Oreochromis niloticus: one gene and its partner. The protein of the gene in region 1 purifies or fractionates together with the protein of each later gene. This does not show direct contact. Links are inferred from orthologs where the notes say so. Each region holds a gene or a part of one and is shown in the gene's direction. Other genes may lie near its edges.

Region 1 (7,999 bases):
CCCAGGAGGTGTGTGGACAGACTTATTACACTCAAATTAAGACACACACTTACACGACAGCCTCACAGTCTGCAGACATTCATGCAGTCTTTATCTATCTGTGCCAAAGGAATTGGTTTATTAATTTTTTCCCCCCACTGTGGAAAAAATGTTGATTAAAAGTGAGTCGCAAAATCCTTTGTGAATCAGAAAATAGAATACAAGGCTGTTCTCTGGTGAAAATTGAGTAATGCGTAGGCTCTAAGTGGCTCTGGGGTTTCCTTTTCCTTCACATTTTCTTTTAGAAAGAGTGAGTGAATGTAGCTGCGCTCAGCGCCACATCTGTGAATAGGTGCTTTCTCACAGGATGAGATAAACAATGGCATTTTACTCTGTCTTAATCATTCTCTTTTGTGTGACTGAATGTAACATGAGGTTCAAAACGTAACTCCCGCAGGGAGTAAGTGCAATGTATACAATGTATAGAAATTTCAGAGAGGATAATTTGTCTCCATGCGAAGGACTTACCCTCGAGAGCTACTATAGATCACTGTTGCATTGATTGTCTCCACTGGTTTAGTCAAGCTTGCTAAGGAAAATCTGTCTGTATAACCAGGGGTAACAGTTAAAATCGAATGCCAATCCCACCGAGGACCTTTTGAAGGCCAACTTGCCAAATTCAAGGCTGCATTTGTCATCCTGCCCGACCTCAGTAGACTTGCAAAGAGTCGGCCCCTTTTCTTTTGACATGTTTTGTGGCTCAGTGTGCATTTAGATGTTGTCTTGCATCCTAATGAAGGAAGACAAATACAGTTAGGAGGTAATGGAGAAAAACAAGGAACCTGGGAAGTCATTCCTTTCACTACATGTGGCAGTGAGTAGTTGCCCCAGCAGTTAGATTAGGATCAGCCATCCTGAACAAAGCAGTAATATTGTTGAGGAATATGATGCATTACTGGAATCCATGGCGAGAATTTAAATTGAATAGGAGAGGAATAAGTCTTCTCTGAACCTTAGATCAGTGTGTTTGCAAACACCTGCATACTGCAAGCCTTTATAAAAAATTTTTTTAGGTAAATGTCAAATGCACAAAGCTCATAAAAGTATTTATGGGTGGGCCATTGTTTTAGTATCCTCTGATGAAGACAAGTTAAGAATTACATTACACGGGCTGTCTCACTTTGCTATCAGATTCGTTCACCTGGATTAGGGTTTCTCTAACAATGATGGGCACGAGCTGTGGACAGATGCGGTGGACCTGTCAGAGATGTGGAAGAGAGGATGTTTGGTGGCACAGAGAGGAAAAAAAGACGGTTATGGCTCAGTTTACTGTGGGGAAACAGAGGATCCCAAAAGCAAGATAGGTGATGTGCATACGCTTATACTCTCGCCTCTGTATAGTGCACATTATATATGTAGTACACTTCGGCTGCATTGTTGTACTTGTTAATTTTAAAGCTATATCGTGCCAGTATATTGACACTAAACAAACAAACAAAAAAAAAATGATGGAAGGTGACCAGAAATTGTTTCTTGTTTCTTGGAGATGTGAAGTGATTTCCCTTCTGCCTTCTGAAAGATTAAAGGGAAAACCTACCTCTCTCTGCTGCGGGGAAAAATGTCCCTCTCCCAGAAGACAGCCACGCTGTCAGCCTATGCTGTTTGTCACTCCGGCGAGTGACACGAAATACGTTGGTTTGTGTGCCCACTAATATTTGGTGCTGTATATACAATTATTTTTCTATTTGTACTGTATATTTCTACTCATATGTAAATTTGAATTGTTCATGTAAGCACTGTATTAAACAAATGTCACATAAGCACCTTTGTTTGTGATAGCCTAAAGGTTAAAAAAAGAAAAAAAAAAAACTTGTGCATTCATTGTATGTCTTTGTACTTGTTTGCTTTGGAAAAATTATTCAGAATAGTGTGAACCGTCGCACCATTCCACTCTGTCCTGGTCAATCTGGAAGAATCTCTGACAGGGCTAAAAATACAGAAGACAAGTGGAGAGTGGACAGTGGATACAAAGTAGACCAACATTGTTTTGGCTCTATTTTGAACAGTGTGAACAATAACTGCAACCGTCGCTCTGCTTTTTCACAAAACGCAAAACCTGTCTTTAGTTGACGGCCTTCGCTTGAAATTTTGATGCTGTATTTAGACGCGCTGCCATGTGCTGCCCTGCCAGCTAGGATGACTTGTTCAGATACCCGGGGATGAGGAATCTGGTTGTTAAGAAAACAGACTGGCCAACATCAATCAGAATAAATGACACCACCTACTGGCAGTAGAATAAAGTAGGCCAAGTACTCTCACTTGTTATTAAGTCACAGTTCTGCAGGAGTTAATTTTATATTTCTGGGTATAAACATATTCCATCATAATTAAATTACAGCTGGGAAAGCGTGGGTGTGGAGGGAACAGTGCTTAGGTCTTGATAAAAGGGTGGGTAGGCCATTGGAGGGTAAAGTGCAGACGAGGTGGAAGTGGTCAGCTGGATTGCTAGGGTCAGCACGGATTACAGGAAACCAGACGGAAACAAGTCGTCCGCCTCTTTTTATCCAGAACTTGGCCTCAAACCAAAACATTCAGCACTATTTGGCTCCTTATCAGACTTTGAATTATGCAAAACTCAGTTTAATACACACAAAACAGAAAAAAGAAGCAGACAGCACAATTTGACACAGTAAAGTCGGGATTGGAGTCATCTGGTGTCCCATGACTTTATTTATACTTTATTCAAATTTCGGATCAACACCATCTGTTCAAAAGACAAATCCGGGTGTATTTAATTAGCTAGCGACTAAGGCTGGTTCCACATAATACCTTTGTAGCAGGATGGAGTTACATTTCAATTCATCTCCAGATATTATGGGAGCTGTTTTGGAGACAGTTGTAGATGAAATTACACATGCCTGGCCAGACGGTCAGATTAAATCACAAGCAAAATAACATTAAGCTGAAGTCTGTGTGTAGCTATTGCAACAGAAACAAATTTGATGAGAAGGCATTGGACTTAATCACTCAGAGACTCGAGAATACTTTAATAATCCAACAGTGACACAAACTAAATGCTGGTTCTTAGTTTTAGGTATTTCTGTATGGGCATCAGCAACACTGGAAATTACAAACAGATAGTAGCAATCTTTTTCTCATCAATAAAGCTTGCAAATTAAGTCACTGAAATGTGAAGTCATCTCCCATTTACTTCCCATATATAAACAAACTTTTTTACTACCAATAAAAATGACAGACCTTGCAGTTTTCTGAGCACACTGAGCGTGGTTTTTAGCTTTAATTATTTTTGTTAAGGTTCAAAGCACCACCGGATCTCCTCTCCCTCGCTCTTCCTGGTTACTTTGTGTTTTACTGAGAAAATGGTTAAGATTACTCTGAGTTTCTATGGAAACTGCTGCGTTTAGTTGCGGATGTTACAGCCCCTGCCCTCTCTGAGGTCACTCCGCTACAAGATAATTTGATCATCCTGCACCTCCAGTTTTAAATAGCCTAAGAATGAGCAAATGAGCAATTTAAACACTTGTAAGCTCGTGATTATAGAAGAAGAACGCCAAGATGTCTTGTCTTAATGCTTTTGTGAATTACATAAAAGTTTCATGTAAACTTATTTAGGCATTTTCCTTTTTTTCCCTTTTTTTTTTAAGGAACCTACTGAGTGGAAGAGGCAATGTTGAGCACTGGCTATTGTTAGTGATGATTAGATTGGATGAGCAGGTGATGTGTGGATCAATAGAGAGCCTGAAAGGAACACATGATTACTCTTGGGAGGTTACGCTGCTCCCTTAAGACCCTTTTCAGAAAGACAAGCAATGAAGAGATACTATTGAACTGAGAGAGTATAGCAAATAACAGTGGGGATCAGACACAATGGTCATAATCAGGGTGTCATCTAATTAAAGGCAGCTGCTTCAGAAGCTGAACCAGTCGCTTATTTCTTTTAGTTACATCTCTGCTTTAGCAAACAAATATTATCATATGACAAACTCTCAGTCATTTAAAAACACACATTAAAACCTGCTTATTCTTGCTGAGCAGGGTATTGTGTTTTTTTTTTAATACAGTCGGTCTTATTTATGTCTATTGAGATTTTTCTCATGATGTTTTATTGAGTTTATTGTGTATATTAGTGTATTTATTAGTGAGTTTGTGTAATGTTAATTATATAATATTTTGCATAACCTATACACCTTTATGTACCCATACATTTTGGTCAACTGAGGTTGTTTTAAATGTCCTATAAAAATAAACTTTGATTTGACTTGGCAGCTTCTGTCATTTCTAAAATTTTACATATCAGGACGTAAAGAAATATTTAGCTTAATGTGAGGCAAATGCTATCTGACACGAGCAGCAACACGTACTATATTACTGTATTACTGTATTACACTGTATCCTAATGTATTTAAGAAAAACTAAGAAGCAGTGTTTGACAAATCAAGCACATCACATTCGGTAACTCACATCAGTCTCTCACATTGTTGTAGAGGTATTCTGCCATTCTGTATATATACATATATATATACTACAGAAGATAACTCGAAACTTACAATAAAGACCTATCGCTAACCTATGTAAGACCTATCGTTAGCGATATGTTAGCGTTAACAATATGTTTTGGAGGATGTCTTTTGACATCCTTCAAAGCTGATTCTACGCACCTGTCCCTTTAAACACAGTACCTTTAAAAATTATTCTCTATCCAACTACATTTCCCACAGTCCACTGTTTAAAGGCGGTTCGGTGGGCATGCTTCATAATCGGGTCAGCCAATTATATACCTTCACTAACGAGCGCGTACTTCGAAATGTCGTTATGTTCTCCAATGAGCGTTTAATATGTTACAGTTTTATACCGTCTGACCAATCGTCGCGACCGTTCTTCGCGCTGACCAATCAAATGGCTATTATGTTGAATAAAGGCGTCATCAGTGAGGACCAATCAGATTGAACGTATAGTTTAAACGGTGAGCGCGGGCGGTCCTAGAGAGCATCTTTTGGGGCGGGTCCAATAAGTGAGGACGCGTGCTTGGATTTGAATTCAGGCAATAGTTAACAACTTAGGGAGACTTTAGTCAACTATCACAGCAAAACAGACACAGGAAACAACACTGTAACACTGCCTATTTCGTTTTCTATTAATTAGTGTGAATATTTGAATGTGAGTAACATTAGCCAACATCGCCGCGTATATAAATCGCTACTCAAGAGTTGCATTTACAGTAAGACATCGCTGTTTGAGGAGTGATCCCTGTACTTGCAATGAAAGCAGGCGGTAAGTACTTTTTTCAACTTGTTCTTGCTAACACCGATATGTGGAAATTACCATAATATGCAACAAGTGTTTGCGGTCTTACTTCAGATCACTGAAGTTGGACACAGTTAGCATTGGTGATTAGCTGCTGCTCGCCACAAACGTTAACTGGTGTAGCCTCCGGGAAGTAATGGTAAATCATATTGGCAATATATCTATAGAGGTAAAACGTCTCTCCTGTTGACTTTGTGAGCATTTTGTGGTCATTGAAAGATAAATAATTAGCGTTAGACTAGTTTGAATTTGAAACCTAATTGAAACTCATCGTTACTGCCGTGGAACTTACAGGAGGGAAATTTGGGCGCTCACCGAGTTTGACTTTCCTCCTTCAGCTGCTCAGTTCACCGCCGTTAGATTTTTAACATATGCAGAAAAAAAAATCATTAGCTTTTTATGTGTTTTAATAATTTCAAGGTGATGATCTCTCCATTAATTTAAACATTTTCCCACTCACTCACAGAGAGTTTGAGTAGACCACCCGTAGATGCCTTACGTTAGTAGTTTTGAATGTGGAGCCATGCAAAACCTTCATCTTGGAGTGCATCACTGTGTGTCTAAATCAACTTGACCTGCTTCCAATGAAAGGCAAATATTAGTTTGTCATTAATGTGAGAATTAGTTAGCCAGTCTTGCAGTTAGGTGTGAAATTTTAAGTGATTTGTGATTTTGATTGTGTACACTTAAAGCCTTCCTCCCAGTGCTGTTGCTTGGAGGGTGAATATGGGAAAGATGCTAAAGTATTCAAAACATTTGATGTGTTAAAAGTGTATAATATATGCAGTTTCTCTTTGTTTTTTTTCTTTCAGTTATCCACTGCCGTTGTTCAAAATGCTACTCGGTTCCAGCACGGAAGCGGGTACGTAAGCGATCTTCTGGGATCACCTTGCTGTCTCTTCCTGAGGAGGTTCTTCTCTGTGTGCTCCAGTATCTCTCTGCAGAGGATCTCCTGTCTATCCGAGCTGTGAGTAAAAGTGCACACTGACACAGCTAAACTCTTTATTACCTGAGATTTCTCTTCTGCTAAAGGTTCTAATTATTTTTCTTATTTATGATTTTTAAATGCCTGTTTCAGGTTCACTCTCAGCTGCGGGACATTGTTGACAACCACTCTAGTGTTTGGGCCAGGGTCAGTTTCAGAGACACGTGGCCATCCCCAAACACATTATGGCTTTTTGAAAGGTACACCACCTACTCTCAAATGTGTGTTTTGCATATATATTTATATGTTGTTTGTCAATTTGAGTCTTTACTTTAAATTTTGTCTTCCTTTAGAGCTGCTGACAAAGGGAATTTTGAAGCTGCTGTGAAACTTGGAATTGCATATTTATACAATGAAGGACGTAAGTTGTTGGTTGGTTCATGTTAGAGATTAAATGGGGAGTCGTATATAAATACAGGCAACATAAAACCCTTTAAATAATTGAACTAATTGATTAAAAATGTGCATCCTCTCTCGCCTTCAGCATTGTTGAGTGACGAGGGGCGAGCAGATGTGTGTGGTCGGAAGGCTTCCCACTTCTTTAGCCTCGCAGAGAGCCTGCGCTCCCTCACAGCAGATCCCTTCATCTGGGTGTTCATCCGTCCGCCGTGGTCGCCCACCGGCAGCTGCTGCAAGGCCGTGGTGTTCGATCACCTCAAGGCTGAGTGCGCTAACAACATGGTAGGCTCAGAGTTCCTGTTTGACCAGCTGGAGTGCAAATTTAATCTCCATTCATGTCTGATTTGGTCTTAAAGTATTAAGTTGGGTTCTTTCTTAAATCATTAATTCAGATATAAAATATTACATAAAAAATGTATCATATTGCAACATAAACGCATATTTGGTTAGCTTGGAAGGCTGCCTGAACACCCTGTCCCTAAAGCTTGGCTTCTGTTCTTCTTAGTTGACTTCGATTTACAGTGCCATACACTGGTGAACAGTTTTGTACATGCAATCTGCTTTTGTGATTTCTCTGCAGGAGAGGAGGGGTCCCCTGTTGCATTGTTTGGCCAAAGTTTTGCAGCTGTTTGAGGTGAGTGAGACTGGGGGGGCTTTATCTCAATCCAGGTGTGGTTAGCCCAGTTTCTATTACTCCCACCCCCCTCACCAAAACCTAAAACTGAGCTGATGTCACAGGGGCTGTTGGACCAGTTGGTCATTAGCACCACAGATGGAATAAATCCCTGTCATGCAGCTTCTGTTGTCTTACAGGCCTTGTTGTTTCTTCTTACTCACAGCTTCAGTATGCTTTGTTATTTACCAATGTGACAAAGCAGAACTGTGCCACGATCCTTCATGTGTTGCAGAGACAGCATGCTGCAGACAGTTTACCTTTACTTCTGTCATTAACCTCAAGGAACTGTGTTTTATTTGTCCAGGATGATGAAAAGCGTTCAGAAGCCATATCCATGCTGGAGGAGTCGTCACAGGCTGGCTGTCTACAGAGCTCTTACCTGTTGTGGCAGCACAGCCGTAAGGCAGCTGTGAGTCAGGTTCTCTCATTACCGTGTTTCAAGATTTACTCTCAGAAGCATGCACCTTTGGTGAAGACAACTGTTTGTTTGGGGTTTATTTCTTATTTACAAAGTCAGTCAAACATAACCAGCTAACATAGTAAATGCTTTACAGATTCTAGAAAAGATTCTCCTGTTGACTCCAATCATGAGCTTACCGTTTTCTTTTTGGTGTATGTGTTTCAGATCGCAGATC
Region 2 (8,195 bases), on another chromosome or scaffold:
GTAAAGAACGGAGTAGCTCTCCATTGTGTCAAATATGACCTGACAGTGTAGCCACAGTGCAGCTGAAAAACAAATCAACCTTTGTTCCCATTAAAAAAGGAAAAAAATGTATCAAGAGCTTAGGTAAGATTAACGACATCACTTTGTTGATCAACTTTTCCACACAGGACGTGGACTGTGTAGAAACTATGCACTCCAGAGGGAGGAAATGGGCATGCTTGTTATGTGTGAGCCTCTTGTCTGGTTTTGTATTAACTTTAAAAAAAAAGAAAAAAAGAATCTGTATCAGAAGTTCAGCAATAAAATGCAGCATGGTGCCAATTAAATTGATGGGTGTCGACTACAGTTTGAATGCCATATAACAAGAACCAAGGGTTCGTGCCATATAACACGAACCAACAAACCAAAGGTTTGTTGTCCTTAATACCACTCTGAGGCTGGTTATACACCAGAAAATTATTACTGAAGGAAGATTTGAACCTAATTCTAGCTTGGTGAGAAGATTGTAAGCAGGGACAAAACTACCTTTGCTCTCACTGAACTGCTGATCCTAAAATCATGGGAAGAATTAGGCTCTAACTTTATTAACAAAATAGCATTTACAGCAAATACACGAGATATACACTCACTGGCCACTTTATTATTTACTTTTTAATGGAACTATCTAAGCAGACAATCACATGGCAGCAGTTCAAAGCATTGAGGGCTGTATTTGTGGTTGAGATGATCTGCTGAAGTTCGAACCGAGCATCAGAACGGGGACAGGATTGTCTTATTGTTATTATGCAAGCATAAGAACATTAAGGCAAAGCTAAGAACGGGAAACTCAGGCTACAAAAACTGGACAACAGAAGGTTACGAGAGCAAGAGGATGATAGGGTCAGAATTTGGCATAAACAGTATGCAAGTATGGATCCATCTCACTTTCATAATCAAAGGTTCAGACTGGTAGTGGTGGCCTCAAATGGCCTCCACAGTCACCAGATCTCAATCCAATACAGCACCTTCAGAAGGTGGTGAAACAGGTCATTTACAACATGGATAGCAGCAACTGTGTGATGCTATCATCTCTAAATGGACAATATCCCTGAGAAATGTTTCAAACATCTTGTTGAATCTGTGCCATGAAGAATTAGTGTAGATCTGAAGGCAAAAACTGTACTGGCAAGATGTACTTAAAAAAGTGGCCACTGAGTGTATGCTATCCATTACAAACAAACTACAGTAAATCAAGATTACTTTGACATTTTAATTGAACTGAACTGAGGGTGACTCTGAACATTGACCATACATCTCAAAAGTTGACAAGTCACCAGACCAAATGCCACACTGCTTTCATGGCATTATCAGCAGCAGAGAAGGGATCTGAGAAGCTGTGTCAACAACTGTTGCCATCATCTGTAACAATTGTTAATATCTGCAGGTGGAATGGCATTTATCTTTCATAACAATGCCCTGATTTAACCTGCAACAATTAAGAAAGTGAATAATAAAAAGTAATTTCACTTAGTAGCTGTCAACATAGACTGTATATAAAAGTTGGATGTTGGCACAGTGAGGTCCAGTTCTGAAGCATTCTGGTCAGCAAACAACACATCAGAAGGGAGGGGTGAATCTGACTGATTAACCAAGGACACTTCATGGTCACACAGTAGCAACTAGCCAATCATAAAGCATACAGTTTTGTTTTGTATCCTTATAGCCTAAGTGGGGCCATAATTTACAAAATAAAACAATCATGCCGTATTCAGTAAGACTTAAAAATAGTGACCGAGGCCATAAACTCAACAGGAAAGTGGCAGATCAAAGAAGCGGGAGGGTTTTTCCATCTTTACCTTAAGAATTGATTTTTCAATGAGGAGGCGCCCTCTGCTGGTCCTTCTAAAGAATGCAGGTTTGAGGCAGGTTTAAGTATTCACACTCTTGAATGTTAGAGCTGCATCCATTGTTTACAAACAATCTGACATATTAGCGTTCTCTGATCTTCCCTTTATTTTCCAATGGAACAAACACATTTCAGCTAGAATCCATTATTAGTGATATAATTTTCTTTACAAGCATATGGAGGCGCATAAATGCCACCATCACCAAAAACCATATACAGTACGCAGCAGACTGAAGAACACATTTTCCCTAATCCCAGGTCAAGCTGGGTGTCCTGTGTACACTAGTTGACCATATTACTGGTAACACTTCTGTCTACCAGTCTGTTCTTAATGCGTGACATCTGTTCCAGCTGTGCTTCAAACTGTTGTCTCACCTGCAATGGAAAGCAAGTAACACATTTATTTGCTCAGCAGAGGGAATTATAATTTATTTCATTCCTGACTGGATTGCTTTATGCACCAATCTCTTCTATTGTGAAGTGAGTGTGAGCACTAATGAACCACAATATAACCCAATGAAAAAAATTAAAATTGGTTCTTTTGCTCAGACATGATACTATTATTTCAGTGTCCCACCTCATTCATGCTTTCTCTGAGTGGCTTCTGATCAAATGTGAGTGTGGATGCCTTCACCAGGGAGCTGCTGTTGAGGATGTAACTGCAGAGAGAATTAAGCAAGTTCTTGAAGATTGAGGGATGCAAAAAAATAACTTCAATGAAACTGTTTCCATTAAAGATCGAAAAATATAATTACCACCCACTTATTTATAAAGTGAATATTTAAACCTACTCATCAAGTATACAACATATACAGGGTTTGTTTCATCTCTGACCTGAGCTCACAACAATAAGTGAACAAAGCTCATAAGCCACATGTTTATTCTACCCTCCCCAGAAAAACATGTACACAAGTAGTCAATATGGTTGTGTGGTTAGTAGAAGCCGGAGGGCTTACCAGTTGATGTTTGCTTTGTAGAGGAGAAAGATGGACCGAATCAGAGCCAAACGTGAGGGTGCTGAGTGAATGACTTTCCCCAGAGCACAGCGGCAGCCACGGCATTTTAAAGAGCTGTAGATGCTGGGAGTGACCAAGACATTCATTAACAACCTGTGGATGACTGTGATTCCTCCAGTATTTTATCTATACCACTAAAGTCTAAGCTGTGCTTATGTCAATGCTTTGTGGTACAAAACAAATTCCCTCTACAAGGTCAATAAACGCTGCAGCTTTACCCTACTCACCAATTAGTCATTTCCCCTTTATGTCCTGACTCCATCTTGTCACTAATGACTACATCGTTGGTTACTCCTAAAGAAAAACAGGTAGAAAACCATTTAATAATATATTGGCATAAAACTTTTGAAAATCATCAGTGGAGTTTAAGTATAGTATCCCTGAAAAAACAGACATTAAAAGAGCATTAGGGAGCAAATGTGGTTGTTTTTGTCACTCTGGCACGAACAGCACGTCCCAGTTGATCCCACAAGTGTTCGATGGCGTTGAGGACAGGACTACAGGCAGGCTATTCCATCCCCTCCACTCCCAAACAGACGGCAGAAGAAACTACACCAGAGCAAGTGCGCTGGCCCAAGTAGTACCAAAGAAGTCAACACCGCCAGAGCTTAACGATTATCAAACAGCTGACCTCACGGCATGTGACAAAGGTACTGTAGATACTAAACATTTGCCCAGCTGAGACCACAGGCGAAATCACCTCTTGACCCTCAGCAGTTTGCACACAGACCAAATGTGGAAGCAATCACCTACATCCTGCAGGGAGCTTACTGCCATCTAGACAGTAATGGCTGCACAGTGAGGATTACCTTCTTTGATTTCGCAAGTGCATTCAACACAATCCATCTGCTGCTACTGAGAGAGAATCTACAGGAAATGTCAGGAAACACATCCACTGACAAACAGTCCACAGCATATGAGACTGGGGAAGTACTCTGTCTGTTTGGTGATGTTCAGTTCAGGAGCTCTGCAGGGGACTCTGCAATCTCCCTTGTTGTTCACCTTGCACACCTAAGACACTGAAGAGTTTAGCTCTGGGTTTAGGCACCTACAGAAATACTCTGATCAGTATGCAACGGTTTGATTTTAGAGGCAGAATGGGGAGTAGAGAGCACTAATGGATGATTTTGTGGCATGGCCTGGGAGGATTCATCTGCTTCTGAATATGAATAAGACCAGAGGGAATGTGATCTACTTCAGAAGGTTCCTTTTGAGGTGGTGGAGTACAGGTACCTGGGTGTCCACATCAACAGCAGGCTGAACTCTACTGGGGTCTGCTGGGGGAGAAGACTGAATAAACTGATTATGAAGGCTGACTCTGTAACTGGCTGTAAATTGGAAACTTTGAGGATATTGTGATGAAACTTTTCCATCACTAATAATCCTGACCACCACTGCGCTGAATAGGCAGTCTCTCTAAAAGACCGATTGAGCTTTGCAGCTACAGGAGAGGCATCTACCACCAGGCATACTACCATATTGCTATTGAATAATGTATTTATCATCTCATTGCTTATCTTACTCCAAAATTTTAGGTCATGTGGTGTAAACAGTCGCCATAAAAACAAGTCAAAATCCATCTACTATGAGTTTAGTTAAAAGCACTGTAAACTGATACTACATTTAACATAAACCCAATGCCTCAGCGAACAAGTGTTTAGAAATGAAGTGTGCTTACTTATGCACATAAGAGAGTCCATGCTTTTCATCTCCCCACAGACGCCTGTGGAGTCCGCCAGGACGGCGTTGCACTGGTGACAGTGGAGAGTCATCTGCTGTCTGTGCACTGTTCCTGTGGCTGGCAGCTTTAGGTCGTCGGTGTGTTTAATTAAAAAGCTGTCGTTAAATTCCATGTTTCACGGTGCCTAGCCAGCAACTTGCCCTCCTCGCGAATTTGAACAACAGAGGAAAGCACGCCCTCAGCGTAACCACGCCCCTACAAAGAAATGTACAAGCTACCAAATAACACTTTTCTACAAGTTTAACAAAGAAGTGTGGCTGATTAAATTATTTTAAATGTATGAAATTTCTAATAAAAATACGGTTTTAGAAAGAAAAAATAACCATGGGGGATATAAAAAAAAAATGCCGAAAAATGCACGGTTGTTCTGATTGGCTGTGAGGCACATCCGGTTAGAGTGAAGAGCCAATCAAATGTGTCGCGCTCCTGTGTTTTGAATCGGAGGCTAGTTTTAACCGACGCTGTTTGTGGTGAGGAGAAAGACGGACGTGTGCGCGAATTTTTTTTAAAAAAAAAGGCGAAATAAACTGTCACACCGACATGGATTTGGACTCCATGAAATATGCAGAATTGCGAAGTCTCGCTAAGGAGCTGGGACTCAAGGCGAACATGAAGGTAAGGGAGCTTTACTTTTTTAAAATTAGCTTCTAGCGAGGTTTGGTAGACTTACCTTGTATTCGCTAACGGTAGCTGGCTGTTCTCTAACGTCAACGTGTGTTGTGCAAACTACACTCAAATGCATTTTTTTTTCCCGGTTTTTTCCGGCAACATTAGGCCGACAAACTTCTGAAGGCAATAAAGCAGCATTATCAAGAAGAAAAGAACAAAGAGCCGAAGGAGCAGGTAACTTACTGCTGTTCTGTAATGTATCGGCTTTGTTGTCAGCATCTCGTGTGGACAGCGCTAATGCGTTTATGACTGTTCCAGGGGCAAGGTATTAATGATGAAGCTCAGGCGAAACCTGAGGTTGTCCTGGATTCATCTTGCAAGGAGGAAGTTTCCAGCACTACTGGGTTTGTGAACACACGTCGAGGTAAAGGACAGGGTACCAAGAGAAAAATCTCTGTTACTGCCACACTGACTAAAAGCGATGCCAAGATGCCTCCAGTTGCTGCAAAGGTATTATACATTACACTGTATTCAACATAAATACATCTGAAGCACTCTATATCCCTGTGTATAGGGTTGCTTTGCAGCTGTTTAAGTTCTTTGCATTCTGGAGGTCTAAAACCTTTTATGATTATTTTTCTTTTTAAGGGTGACACTGAAGTTGATGCATCTACTGCACCCTGCAATGCCAGGGGTGGTAAGAAGAGAAAGGTGTCGTCTACAATCGATAAAGAAAAAAATGAGCCTCCTAAAAAGATCCAGACTCCTAACCGTGAGGAGCAGCAGCTACAGCCTGCCATTAAGGATGAAGCACCAGTGACTGCTGAAACAGGTTAGTAATAGTTGATAAAAGCTGATACACACTTAAGTTCTCTTCATTGGATTTTAAGATCATTGACTTTCGCACAAATTTTAAATTTAAATGTCTGTGTCCAGAAAAGGCACCAAAAGGGGCAAAAGCTGGTAGAATTCCTCGTCTCCAGCAGAAGAGTAAGCCTTTGTTGAAGCCTGTTACCCCCAGTAAGTTTTTTTTTTTTTTCTTTCCTTTTTTTGTCTCCCTTTCAACAAAGTATTTTATTTAAGTTAACCATGATATTGTTCTTTTTGTGCCTGATTCAGCAAAAGTTTTATAGGAGTCTCTGCTATGTACAGCAGAGCCTGTCTTACTTTATTTCAGAATTTCAGAGAAATCTGTACATTTTCCTGTTGATGATGCACATCTATTTTGCTTTAGTAAATAAAACCTTAATCGATTTTAAAAAACTACAAAACAATACTTACAGTACTGGTGCCACCCCCACACACACACACACACACACACACACACTTCAAAATCTTTGAATAATGTTATAAATTTTATTTGTTTATCTAGATTTCAAAAAACTTCATGAGGCTCATTTCAACAAGATGGAGTCCATTGATTCCTATGTTCAGCGGAAGACGAAACAGATGGAGACGTACAGAAATTCAGTCAAGGAACTAAAGGTGCCAAATCATCTTGGCTTATTTTTATTCAGGAAAAATTAAGTCTAACTTTTACTTGAACTTTATTTTATTTTTTACCTGTAGAGTCTTTCAGACAAAACTGAGCTGCTGCAAGTTGATGGCAAAGCTCAAGTGGTAAGCATCACCATCTACTCGTCACCCACATTTAATGTATATATCAATTACTTCTAAAGCACACTAATGGCACATGTGTATATAATCCCACAGAGGGCAAATCCAACTCGTGCTTCAATGTTCAGCCCTGCCCCAGTGAACAAGACACCAGGTGGAGGAAACCGCAGGCACACTTTGCTTTCAGCCACCAAAAAACCTCTTGCAAAGGAGGTCGTCTCCTTCAGGCCTTCTGTTCTTTCCACTCGCAGGATCAATGTTCGGTGAGTCACCGTTTTGTCCTCTGGCCTTTTGATACAACAAATCTAATGAATTTCTAGGGGATCTAATATGCCTTTTAAATGAACAAAAGTACTGAGCCACACAGTCTTTTAATCTTCTCATTAGTTATCAATCACATTCACACAGGTGTACAAAACTTGTGACTTAGCCATGCAGTCTCTGTTTACAAACACTGGTGAAATAATGGGTCATTCTAAAGGATTAACCTGAATTCAAGAGTGGAACTGCAAAAATAAACTTTAAGTGGTATTGCAAAGTGAAAACATTGAAACTTAAGTTTTGTATTCAATGTAATGCTTTAATGAGAACTGTCTACATACAGGTTCTCAGAAGCTACTCATGACAATGAATATAAAAGGTCACTGGTGAAGACACCTGCACGCATGTCACCTTGCGTGGCTTCCAGCACCCCTCAGAAACAGACCGCCAACGGATTAAAGCCCAGCAGTGTCAAAACTGCATCTTTCTCGGCCACAAAAACTCCAGGTACTTTGACCTTTCAACCCTTTGAATGATATCTGAAGTATATGTCTCTAAACATCGTAGATGATGATATTTCCCCCCCCCCCCCCCCCCCCCCCACTCTGCAAGGACCATTTGTTTTCACTGGCAACACAAGCACTTCAACAACGCCTGGCACAAACAAGAAACCCAGCTTTGATCTGAAGGCGAGTCTGTCACGTCCCCTCACCTACAAGCCTCATAAAGGTATAAAAATGTTCTCATTTTCCCTGTTCGTGTGAAACACTATTTGAATGGATGAGATGTAGCATTGAGTCTTTTATTTTATACATAGGTAAACTGAAGCCATTTGGAGATGTCAAAGAAAACATGGCCATGAACCAGTCTATCTCAAATCCACATCAGGAAGCTTACAAACAGCACAAAGTCCAGTCAAGGTAGGTCCTTAATTAACACTGAAAATTCTCCCATTGCAGTTTGCTCATGCAACATCTCTGAATGTCTTTAATCCTATTTTAGGGAGGGCCGCAGAGCAAAGCAAGTACAAGATCGGAAGCAGAAGAAAGAAAGTATCCTTGGGGCA

The links. The genes of interacting proteins can lie anywhere in the genome.
Region 2: the proteins of ccnf (region 1) and nusap1 purify together in Homo sapiens (affinity purification with mass spectrometry; 3 studies listed by BioGRID, with this or other methods). This does not show direct contact. The link is inferred for Oreochromis niloticus from reciprocal best matches to the Homo sapiens genes CCNF and NUSAP1.

What each region holds. Positions count from the first base shown.
Region 1 is NC_031969.2:20,391,785-20,399,783, forward strand, and holds the start of ccnf (cyclin-F), read left to right. Parts: upstream 1-4,973; 5' UTR 4,974-5,258; coding exon 5,259-5,271; intron 5,272-6,116; coding exon 6,117-6,271; intron 6,272-6,382; coding exon 6,383-6,489; intron 6,490-6,582; coding exon 6,583-6,650; intron 6,651-6,773; coding exon 6,774-6,970; intron 6,971-7,268; coding exon 7,269-7,322; intron 7,323-7,668; coding exon 7,669-7,773; intron 7,774-7,989; coding exon 7,990-7,999. UniProt on the Homo sapiens protein: Substrate recognition component of a SCF (SKP1-CUL1-F-box protein) E3 ubiquitin-protein ligase complex which mediates the ubiquitination and subsequent proteasomal degradation of target proteins.
Region 2 is NC_031983.2:22,123,484-22,131,678, reverse strand, and holds the start of nusap1 (nucleolar and spindle-associated protein 1), read left to right. Parts: upstream 1-5,059; 5' UTR 5,060-5,182; coding exon 5,183-5,257; intron 5,258-5,416; coding exon 5,417-5,485; intron 5,486-5,569; coding exon 5,570-5,761; intron 5,762-5,899; coding exon 5,900-6,083; intron 6,084-6,187; coding exon 6,188-6,271; intron 6,272-6,623; coding exon 6,624-6,736; intron 6,737-6,820; coding exon 6,821-6,871; intron 6,872-6,964; coding exon 6,965-7,131; intron 7,132-7,472; coding exon 7,473-7,636; intron 7,637-7,741; coding exon 7,742-7,858; intron 7,859-7,946; coding exon 7,947-8,049; intron 8,050-8,131; coding exon 8,132-8,195. Other genes in the region: oip5 (protein Mis18-beta), read right to left, coding at 2,168-2,260, 2,463-2,544, 2,842-2,964, 3,129-3,195, 4,580-4,754. UniProt on the Homo sapiens protein: Microtubule-associated protein with the capacity to bundle and stabilize microtubules. May associate with chromosomes and promote the organization of mitotic spindle microtubules around them.